Linked DNA regions of Ovis aries. The protein of the gene in region 3 interacts with the protein of the main gene of each other region in a biochemical or structural test. Links are inferred from orthologs where the notes say so. Each region holds a gene or a part of one and is shown on either strand. Other genes may lie near its edges. The genes, in order: CNOT1, AGO2 and TNRC6A.

What was found.
Region 1: the proteins of TNRC6A (region 3) and CNOT1 form a complex in vitro, tested with the Homo sapiens proteins (2 studies listed by BioGRID). The link is inferred for Ovis aries from reciprocal best matches to the Homo sapiens genes TNRC6A and CNOT1.
Region 2: the proteins of TNRC6A (region 3) and AGO2 form a complex in vitro, tested with the Homo sapiens proteins (2 studies listed by BioGRID). The link is inferred for Ovis aries from reciprocal best matches to the Homo sapiens genes TNRC6A and AGO2.

What each region holds. Positions count from the first base shown.
Region 1 is NC_056067.1:25,892,256-25,894,585, reverse strand, and holds the end of CNOT1 (CCR4-NOT transcription complex subunit 1), read left to right. Parts: exon of another isoform or gene 1-1,158; coding exon 1,159-1,293; exon of another isoform or gene 1,294-1,469; coding exon 1,470-1,548; 3' UTR 1,549-1,811; downstream 1,812-2,330.
Region 2 is NC_056062.1:15,983,580-15,987,973, forward strand, and holds the start of AGO2 (protein argonaute-2), read left to right. Parts: upstream 1-1,499; 5' UTR 1,500-1,625; coding exon 1,626-1,647; intron 1,648-4,394.
Region 3 is NC_056077.1:23,016,814-23,020,077, forward strand, and holds the end of TNRC6A (trinucleotide repeat-containing gene 6A protein), read left to right. Parts: coding exon 1-135; intron 136-670; coding exon 671-1,046; 3' UTR 1,047-2,716; downstream 2,717-3,264.

The DNA.
Region 1 (2,330 bases), on a different chromosome or scaffold from region 3:
CTAGGCTGCTTTGTCCAGACAATAACACTGGACAAATACTGGGATTCTCCAGACAAGAATACTGGAGTGGATAGCCTTTCCTTCTCCAGGAGATCGTCCCAACCCAAGAATGGAACCCACATCTCTTGCATCTGCACAGGCAGGCAGATTCTTCACAGTTGAACCACCTGAGAAGTCCATGTGTTAAATAGTTGTGAACAAAAGGACTTTGTTCCTGCCCTCCTGAAAATTAGTCTGATGGGCACCAAAAAAAAAAAAAAAAAACCCACACACACAAACAGAATTACTAATCATTGTTGAAACCAAAAAGTAGTTTTCAACACAAGGTACCATTATTTTTATGGATTAGGGATTTTTTTCAAGTGTTGTTGTCAGCATATTTAACCTGAGTCCTGAAGCATCAGGCCTTTCAAAGTTCATGTTGAAGAGCTTAAACTTGTCTTTATTACCTGTAGGTTGTAAGGTTTTAAGCAGGAGAAATAACAGGATCATACTTGTGTTTTACTAACAATAGTTAGGCATCTATTGCAGATTGCTTGGACTATGCATAGCATTTGCAGATTAGGAAATGGGTACATCCTAGTGAGAGAGATACAGGCAAACTTAAAGCACTGGACTAGACTTGTTAAACCTACCCCTTAACCTATTATTAGCTTCTAGGTATTAATATTCCTTAGTTTTATATACTAAAAATTAGTATTTTATTATTAGATGTTCAGATGATAAAAGTCCTTTTAGTGATTATATATAAAGCATCAGTGAACATCCTTGTACTCACGTATTTGTTCCTGTGCTTTATTACGTCTTTAGGATAAATTTAGAAGTACAGTTGGTTAGGTCAAAGGATGTGAATATTTAAGCCAATACTGACTGCCATTCAGAAGAATCATCACCCCCAGTTTACATGTGTACTAGTAGTATTAACTTTCTTATTTGAGTATGTATTAAGTGATTATCTTCTCTGTGCCATGTAATCTGTTATCTATTTACCTTAGTGTTCTAGGCTCAGTAGGGAAGAGGTGGGGTTCAAACCTAATTCTAGGATCTATTTATGCTAACTATTCTGTATATCCACCTTCCTTTTCTAAAGCTAATGGAGAAGTGGTCATGATCTGGTGTTTTCCTGTGCATTGATCAACTTTTTCTTCCATTCTCCAGGGTTCTTTTGGAACGGTTGATTGTAAATAGGCCACATCCTTGGGGTCTTCTTATTACCTTCATTGAGCTGATTAAAAATCCAGCATTTAAATTCTGGAACCATGAATTTGTACACTGTGCCCCAGAAATTGAAAAGTGAGTCAAAAGTAATTCTTTTCATTGTTTCAGTCTTAAGACAGGAGAAATAATCATTTGATGGCTTCAGCTTGGGTGGGTAATTAAGAAGGGAGTAGTAGCCAAAATTAGTAAGACACAAGGTTTCATCACGCCTGAATTTTTCTCACTAGCTTGTACTTGTTTTCATTCTTCAGGTTATTCCAGTCCGTCGCACAGTGCTGCATGGGACAAAAGCAGGCTCAGCAAGTAATGGAAGGGACAGGTGCCAGTTAGATGGAACCACATCTCTGTTGTAAATGTGTCTGCCTGGAGGTCCCACTGTACCAAGTTCATAAACTGGCTGAAGATCCTTTCAGCTCTTCCTGACTTTCCCGGCCCTTTGGTTCTTGGGTATCTGCCCCAATTACTGTTTGGGTCAGCTACCTGTCTATGTGGACACGTTCCAAAGTTTAAATGCATTTTTTTGACTCTTGGCCAAAATTTAGAAGATGCTGTGAATATCATTTTGAACTTGTGTAAATATATGAAAGAGAAAACCTTTGTCTGAAACTTCTTGGGTTTGTGCAAAATGTGTTCAAGGCAAGTAGGTAAACTGGTACCTGCCCAATTTATAATGGAAGGAGCTGCTGATGCCATGCACTTGTCTGGGGGTGGAGTGGGGGTGGGGCACAGCACCATTTCTTCTGACATTCCAGGTGTCCCAAAGAATAGCAAGAAAGCCAGTTTAAATATTGTGTAACTTAAAAAAAAAAAATACACGGACAGGGACCTTGAAAATCACCCAGTTGTTTTTAAAAAATGTGGATGTGTAGAATCTGATATGCTAGGAACATGTGCAGAGTTCACATTTGAGATCCCATGGGTTTTTTATTTTACCTCTTCCCCACATCTACAGCTTGCTGCTGGGAAAGCATCATTTTCTCTTTCCTGCTGGAGAACACACCCTCTTGGGCCCTGTGAGACACTTTTTATAAAGGGAAGCCAAAACAGGCCTAAAGCTCCCCCATCTCATATTACAGAAATTGTGCAGAAAGGAGCCAAATAGTATGAATTGC
Region 2 (4,394 bases), on a different chromosome or scaffold from region 3:
GTACCCAGTCCCACCCTGGCGTACCTTCTTACCCAGGCCACCTGGGCTCCTAAACACACGTTCAGCTGAGTAGCTGCCTAGGGTCACCTGTGGATTTGTGTTTCCACAGCATGAGGGTCAGGTGGAGAGGTGGTCTGGGTGGCTATGAGGGTGGGGGTGGTGGGCAGAGGATTAGATGGGGAAGAATGGACATCTCTGAGGCTGATGCCATGGGACCCCCTCATTCATATCGATTACTCGGTGAAGATGGAAGCCTTCTGACATTTCTTTCTGGAGGGCAGGTGGATTCTCGTGCATTTATTTAAGAATGTCCTTGAGAACTGCAGAGAGAGAAACAAACCTATTGGACGCTTGCAGGCAGAACTCCCGTTCATCTTTGTACCATGCTAGGCCAGCGGAACACAGCCACAGGTACACGGTGTCAGATAATACTTGCTTACCCGAGGAAGAAAGGAGCAGGCAAATATGTTAAAAAGATGACAAGCAATTTTGGATTGTATTTCACCTTCCGGTTTCTAATCCCTCATCAAGCAGGGGAGAAAGGTGTTGACCTCTGGCTGGCCTCCCTGGAAATGACTCTGAAAAGCGAAAACTGGATGCAAGGGTTTGGCTGGAGGGAGAACGTTTCTGCACGAGGGGGGCGAACACAGGGATGTACGGCGGAGCACGAGGGGGTCCGTAAAGGAACAGGGGAGGCCCCGAGGGCTGGAATGAGGAGTTACAGTTTGATCTGATCACGGATAGCGGCTAAAATTGACCAAAACCTGAAGCTCTTTACAGGGATTCTCTAGGTAGGTTCTCCGCCGGGAGGTGGCGGTGTGGTAGTGTGCGAGGACCCGGGCGCGTTCAAGTTCAAGCTCCGGGTCCGGAGGAACCTTCGCGACATTCCTGTTTCCTCCTTTATCGCTTAAAAGAGCCCGGCTGCGATGCCGGGGCCCTGGGGCGCGGGCGGCACCGCGTCCACACGGGGCCCCAGGTCGCCCGGCGCGGTGGGGGCTCGGGATGGGGAAGGGTCCGCTCGCGCGCGCGGGGAGGCGAGGGCTATGTTTTCTTTTCTTTCTTCCCGGTCTCGGCGACGGGGGTGAGGGGGCAGCGCCGCGCCGCCTGCTCCGCCCAGTCGGAGGAGGCGTCGCGCTTCTGAGTGGCTACAGGGTCCCCCCGGCCCCGCGTGCGCCCCCGCTACGGGGCCTCGCGCCACCCTCGCCGGCGCCGGCCCCGTCCGCCGTGCCCGGCGCCCGCCTCGGCCGCCGCGCTGGTCTGCCCCGCCCCCGCCGCGCGGGCCCGCCCCGCCCTCGCCCCGCCCCTCGCCCCGCCCCCGCCGCGCGGGCCCCGCCCCTCCCGCGCCTCCCTTCCTCTCCCGCCCCGCCCCCGCCCGCTCCCTCGCCCCGCCCCGCCCCTCCCCCGCCTGCTCCCTTGCCCCTCCCCCTCCCCTCCCCTTCCCCCCCTCCCCCGCCCGCCCGCCGCCGCCGCCTCCGCCCGCCGCCCCGGCCGCGTCGGGTAAACCTGTTTGGCGGCCGCGCCGGGGCGGATCGTGCGGCCGGCGGCTCCCTCGCGGCTCGCGGCGTCGGGGCCCGTGGCGCGCGCGCGGCCGCCCCTCGGCCCCGGAGCCCCTCGGCGGCGCCACCATGTACTCCGGAGCCGGCCCCGGTGAGTCCGCGCGCTCCTCCCCGCGGCGGTTGGCGGGCCGGGCGCGAGCGCGGCGCGGGCGGGCGGGGGAGCGCGGCCGGGGGGTCGGGGGGCCTGGGGGGCGCGGGGGGCTGCCGGCCGTTCCCTCGGCCCCAGCGCGGACGCGCGGCCCCGGCCTCCTCCTCGGGCCCGAGTCGTCGGGGCGCCCCGCGCGGCCTGGGCCCTTCCCGCGCCCCGTCTCCGCCGCAGCCCGGCGGGCTGGGACCGGGCCGGAGCGCGGACTGGGCCGGGCGGCGCGCGTGTAGGCCCGAGGCCCGGGCGCCCGCCTGCCCGGCTTCCTGCGCCCGGCGCCTGGGCCCCTGCGCCGCGCGGGGCCGGCGGGGCCGAGGCCGGGGCCGCGCTCGAAGCGCCCGGGGGCGGAGAGGCCCCGGCCGGGGGCGCTGAACTCGGGGTGCGGGCGGCGCGGGGAGGAGCGCGGCCGCTGGGCGCAGACCGAGCCGCGGCGAGCCTGGAGCGCTCTCAGTTTCGTTTTTCTTTTTGCCAGCACTTCTGCGGCCCCTTCTCCGAAGGAAAGTCTGGAAATGCTGAATTTTGGCCAATTCTTGCTGGTAGTTAGGACCGCGGACAGAGAGGGATAGGAAGGCGCCCTAAAACCCTAACCTGCGCGCGTCTCATTTTCATTCCAGACACACAGGCTCCTTATTCAAGTGTTAATTGCCTTTTACAGTTAACTAGAGGAAGGTGAGGAGATGTGCTGATTTCCTTAGCATCTTTTCTCACTAGCCGGCCTCCCTTTCTTTAGAAAAGTTCTGAAAAACTTAGAGCAGTAACACATTTTTTAAAGAACTTTTTTGGGGGAAATGCAGAGTAGAAGGGCGATTAGCTTGCTGAGGCAAGAAAGTGGTCAAATGTTGGTAAGCTTTTTCCCTTCTCCCGCCAGGCACGTGGCTTCTAAATTTCCCGCTGGCCCTGCCACTTGGACAGGGCATATCCTGTCCCCTTTGTCCACCAGGCTCCAGCGGGCTGAAGGCCCTGCCGGCTGGGTCCTGCCCTTTGTGGGCCCTGGCCCTCCCAAGACTCCTGCTGCTGGGGCTTTGGCCGGACCTCTTCAGGCTCTTCTCATCCATTTGGATCCCTTAACACTTTCTATTCACTAACAGTCCTGTGCCTTGTGAATACTCACTGTCTTGTTTTCTGATGTCACTTAGTTAGAAAGCTTCTCCAAGGCTGAGCCAGAGCAACTTTTAAATTGCTGTCAGCAATTTGATAGAAGAATGGTTTTAACTGTAATGGTTTTAACTGGAAGGTGACTCAGCCCTGGTGGGGAAAGGCCCAGGGCTCCAGTCACAGTCACAGTCCTGGGGGCAGACAGACTTGGCTTCTTAGAACGGGTGGGCAGCACCCACCCATGATGTGGCAGGGTAGCCCCCACACCTGGGTGAGTGAGAATCTCCCCGTCCATCCCTCTGAAGGAACCCAGCAAGTCTTAGCCACTACACTGAACATTTTTTCAGATTTTCAATGTAAAAGTTGGAGGCCCAGAAAAAGTGAAGAACCTTGGGGAAGGTCAAGCTTTTGTGATGTGTCTGATGTTCACTGAGCCACTGGACAGCTTGCTAAGTTGCTGATGGTCATTTTGAAGATGGACTGCAGAGGCACAGAGAGGCTATGAGCCTTTCGAAGGTCAGCCAGCCAGCGAGCAGTAGGACAATGTGTGTGATTCCAAGCAGACTCTCCATACACTCCCTTTAGAGAAGTGGCTTTCGGTTCTTTTGACCTTGACCCCCAAGAAGAAACACCTGTTACATGTAGACTGGACCCAGTGCTCGGGTGTTAGAGTATAATTGAAACACGAGCTTCAGGAAGAACCGCTCGCCAGTGCTGTGTGCTGTGCACTGGGATATTTTCTTGTCTGTTTTATTTTCCAAAAAGGTTTAGTTCTCTGGATCTCCAGGCTCGTTCCGGGTTCTCCATGGCTCTTGGAAGAATCTTGCTGTGATGTGGGCCTGTGCATCGTGGCCTGGTGGGGAGGGGCCCTCTCATTCACTGTTCGTGGATAAACCTGCTCTGAAATCGGACAGCTTTGGTTGAAAAAATAAATGAGTCTGTAGGATAGTTCTTAGCCAGTGAACGGCAGGATGGGAATGAACCCAAATTTCAGGCTCTACAAGCGTGCTGTAATTATAAGGCTGTGATACAGTTCAGTTTTATTCTACACACTCAGGCTTTTAATTTTATTTAAGAGGGATATCTGGAATAGAGTCTCTTCGGTGAAACTCTTTTTAGTGTATTTCCTAGTTTAGAATAATAAAAAGACATTTGAACTGGATTGTAGAAAAAATTACAAATAGTTTTGCTACTTCCCATTTTAATACCCTTATTAAGTGACTAAGTAAATTAACTTTAAAAATAGAGTCTTGTTATGGACTGTTATGTCTGTTAGGAAATGCTATTATGTATGTGAATTGGTATCTGGACTCTAAAGTTAGGTAGTTACTATTTTTTAGTTTTTTGTTTTTGTTTATTTTTTTAAAATTATTCGAAAGAGTTAGTGGTTTAGGATGGGTGGATTCTTCTGTGACCCTGAACCTTCATAGATGAACAATTTTTTTTTTCGTTCCAAACCGCTTAGAGACCTTAAAGGGAATCTCAGTATTGCCTACTGAAGGGGGCTTGTTGGTCAGTTTTTTCACTGTGCTCAGACTCTTGTGGGTTACATTCCTCACAGACCTGCTACAAAGTAACTTCTGCCACACCAAACAGGTCTT
Region 3 (3,264 bases):
TGGCTCAACTCTGCGTACTCTGTGCATGCAGCATGGCCCACTGATAACATTCCACCTGAACCTCCCACATGGAAACGCTTTGGTCCGTTACAGTTCAAAAGAAGAGGTAGTGAAGGCACAAAAGTCTCTGCACATGTAAGTTGCCCATTCTACGCAGGCGCCTGGAAAACGCCCCTGGGGGTGCAGGTTCGGAATCCTCTTGTTAGGGCCCCCTCGGGTGGCTGGAAGCACCTCCGGTGACCCCGCACACCACCCCTGGACCGGCACGTGTGGCCCCGCAGTGAGCATCTCAGAGCAGCTGCAGCCTCCTGTGTTTTGGCTCCAAGGGCAACGTTCAGAAGGGAGCACATCACCCCAGATCAAAGTGGCCCTAGAAAAAAAAAAAAGTGGCCCTAGAAAGTCCCTTAAATTTCCCGTTAGGAGACAGGATGTGATCTGACGCCTCAGCAGAGCTGGGCGGCACGTCTGGGTCTGGAGAGCCCTGGGCGCTGTGCCCTACCACATGTGGCCTCCGGGGCGCGCTCGGGCTGGCGGGAGGGCCCTCGGCGTCCTTGCATGCCCGCCCTCTTCTTTTCCCCCTCCGAGGCGACAATATGCCCCCCTGACTTTGGCTCAGACCCCTCAGCTGGCCCCCATCTTCACCAGGCCTGCTTGTGTCTCTCTCCTCCAGGTGTGTACTGGGGAACACTACTATTCTTGCTGAGTTTGCCAGTGAAGAGGAGATCAGTCGTTTCTTTGCACAAAGTCAGTCTCTGACCCCTTCTCCCAGCTGGCAGTCTCTCGGGTCCAGCCAGAGCCGGCTGGGCTCCCTCGACTGTTCCCACTCATTCTCCAGCCGGACCGATCTCAATCACTGGAATGGTGCTGGGCTGTCGGGAACTAACTGTGGAGACCTTCATGGCACTTCCCTCTGGGGGACCCCACATTATTCCACAAGCCTGTGGGGTCCTCCCAGCAGCAGCGACCCCCGGGGAATTAGCAGCCCATCCCCCATTAATGCTTTTCTTTCTGTTGACCACCTGGGTGGGGGTGGAGAGTCCATGTAACAGTGTAGACTAGACTCACGAACTTCGACCTCAAGCCTCGAGAGAAAGGAGCACTAAGTTGGGCTCGCCGCCTGCAGCCAGGGGCCACCTGTGGGAACAGCTATTCTCTGCACATTCTCCACTTTGTTTTCCCTGAAACATATCAGTTTGAATACTTGAATCATGCAGGCCAATATTATAATGTGAAAAGGTATCTATCTATTTACACTCCCAAATAGCGCCATACATGCTAAACCGTATAGAATGAGCTCACTTGTGTATACTCATCATGTTTAGCCTTTGAGTTCTCTTTTTTCCCCCGTTCCTACCCCTCCCCCCATTCATTCTTTTTCTCTTCTTTTTGCAAACAAGTTTTTTGGGCTGATAATGTATGAGCTTTTAACTTTGCACTGAAGGGTGTTCTCTCCGTCTACTCGGCAATATGGGGAGGGCAGCTGTTCCAGTGTAAATGTTTACTCAAGGATGTTCTTAAGGTGTGCGCTCTCTACTATGCCTTGATGTTTGCCTACCTTATTGTGGTATCGTGGAGTTTAAGAGATCAAGTTATGATACTGACCTAGGACTATAAATGAAAGTATTGCACCAGTTTTTCATGTTATAAAACTAAAGAATTTCACTCTGCAGTTTGAAAAACTGTGGCCACAGCTGTGACTTGCAGCCCACCTGCCACCCAGGACGGGCCCTGCACTTTGAATAGGCTTTCCATTTTGTTTTGAAGGTTCCCACGTTGAGCCTTCTTGTTTACAGATTTTTTTGTTTGTTTTTTGAGAAAAAAAAAAAATGTTTACTCTTCCATCATTTAAAAAAAAATTAAAAGACAAAAAAAAAAAAATGGAGGATGATTTAAAAGATGCTTTCTATCTCTGGGAAAAAGGAGCAGCATTTGGCCATGTTCTTTTGTTTTTCTATTCTGTCCTAAATCAAAGAGCATGGTTCTCAGGAAAACCAGTTCCCCAGTTTAAAAAAACAAAAAAAAAAAAAAAAAAACTCCTTGTAGTTTCTTATAGGAAAAAAGAAAAACCCCAACTTTTAGCACTGATACTACATATTGCTCTGTTTAAGAATTTTCTCTGCCAAAAAAAAAAAAGAAAAAAACAAAAAAATGCTTAAAGCTGGAGTTTGAGATTCTGCTTTCAGATGCTGTCTTTTTATTAGTGAGTGATGATGGTTTGCTAATAATCAATAGGTAATAATTTTTTGTAATCCCATCAAGTGGCTCTCTGTTTCCGCTCTCTCGTGACTGTGTTAATGTTTAACTGTTGTACCTTAAAGCCGAAATCAGTAACTATGCATACTGTAACCAAGATATTGGGCTTACAGAATTGTTCGTTGTATAAAGAAAATTTTAAATGTTGTTGCAAACTAACGAGTTATACACCATTTTTAAAATTTCTTTCTCCCCACCCCCCCTTTTTTTGCCCACAAATGGTATTATAATGCTTGCTTAGTCAAAGAAGAGAGACTAAACAAGGGTAAAAATTTTAACAGTACAGAATTTGCCATCATTTCATTGCCTTGATTCTAACTGTTTGTGTCCTAAGATGCAAAAGAAGTCAGTGGCTTTTAACTGTTTACAAATAGAATGTGATTGTAAAATGTACAGTCTGGTTGTGTTTGAATTATGAACTTTCTTCAGATATAATAAACCATGACTTTTTGGCTGCTCAGCATTAACTGTCTCTTTTTTGTGAATTTATTTGTACGCTCTTTTTTATAACGAAAGTTTCAAAGTTGCTATGTATGAGGGTTCTCATAGAGCAACCAAGTAAAAAAAAAAAATCTAAGCAAATATTTGAACATTTTATCCGAACTTATTCACACTTTCACCCTGAAATAATGTGAGAACAATGGGAAACTGTTGCTTGCTCCTTCCTACCCTCTCTGAGCATCTTTGGGATCTTGTTGCTCAAACTCTCCTGTGACTTCATCTTCCCCACCATTTGTGCCCATCTCAAGCCTCAGCAAGAGACCATTTGGAACATGAAGCTTAATGACTTGACATTGTTCTTAGTGTTAACTCTCATACCTCTGTTACAAAATGAGAAATGCCACAGCCTGGACTGGCCTTTTTCTTCCCCCTTCACGGCCCTCGCTCCTCACCGCAGGAGCTTCGGGGACAGAACCTGTGTATGTATTTCAGCGTATGACTTCAGATCATGCTCCAACTTGCCAGGTGTAAGCTAATGTTGTTGGACACCTTAATATAAGCAAATGTTGT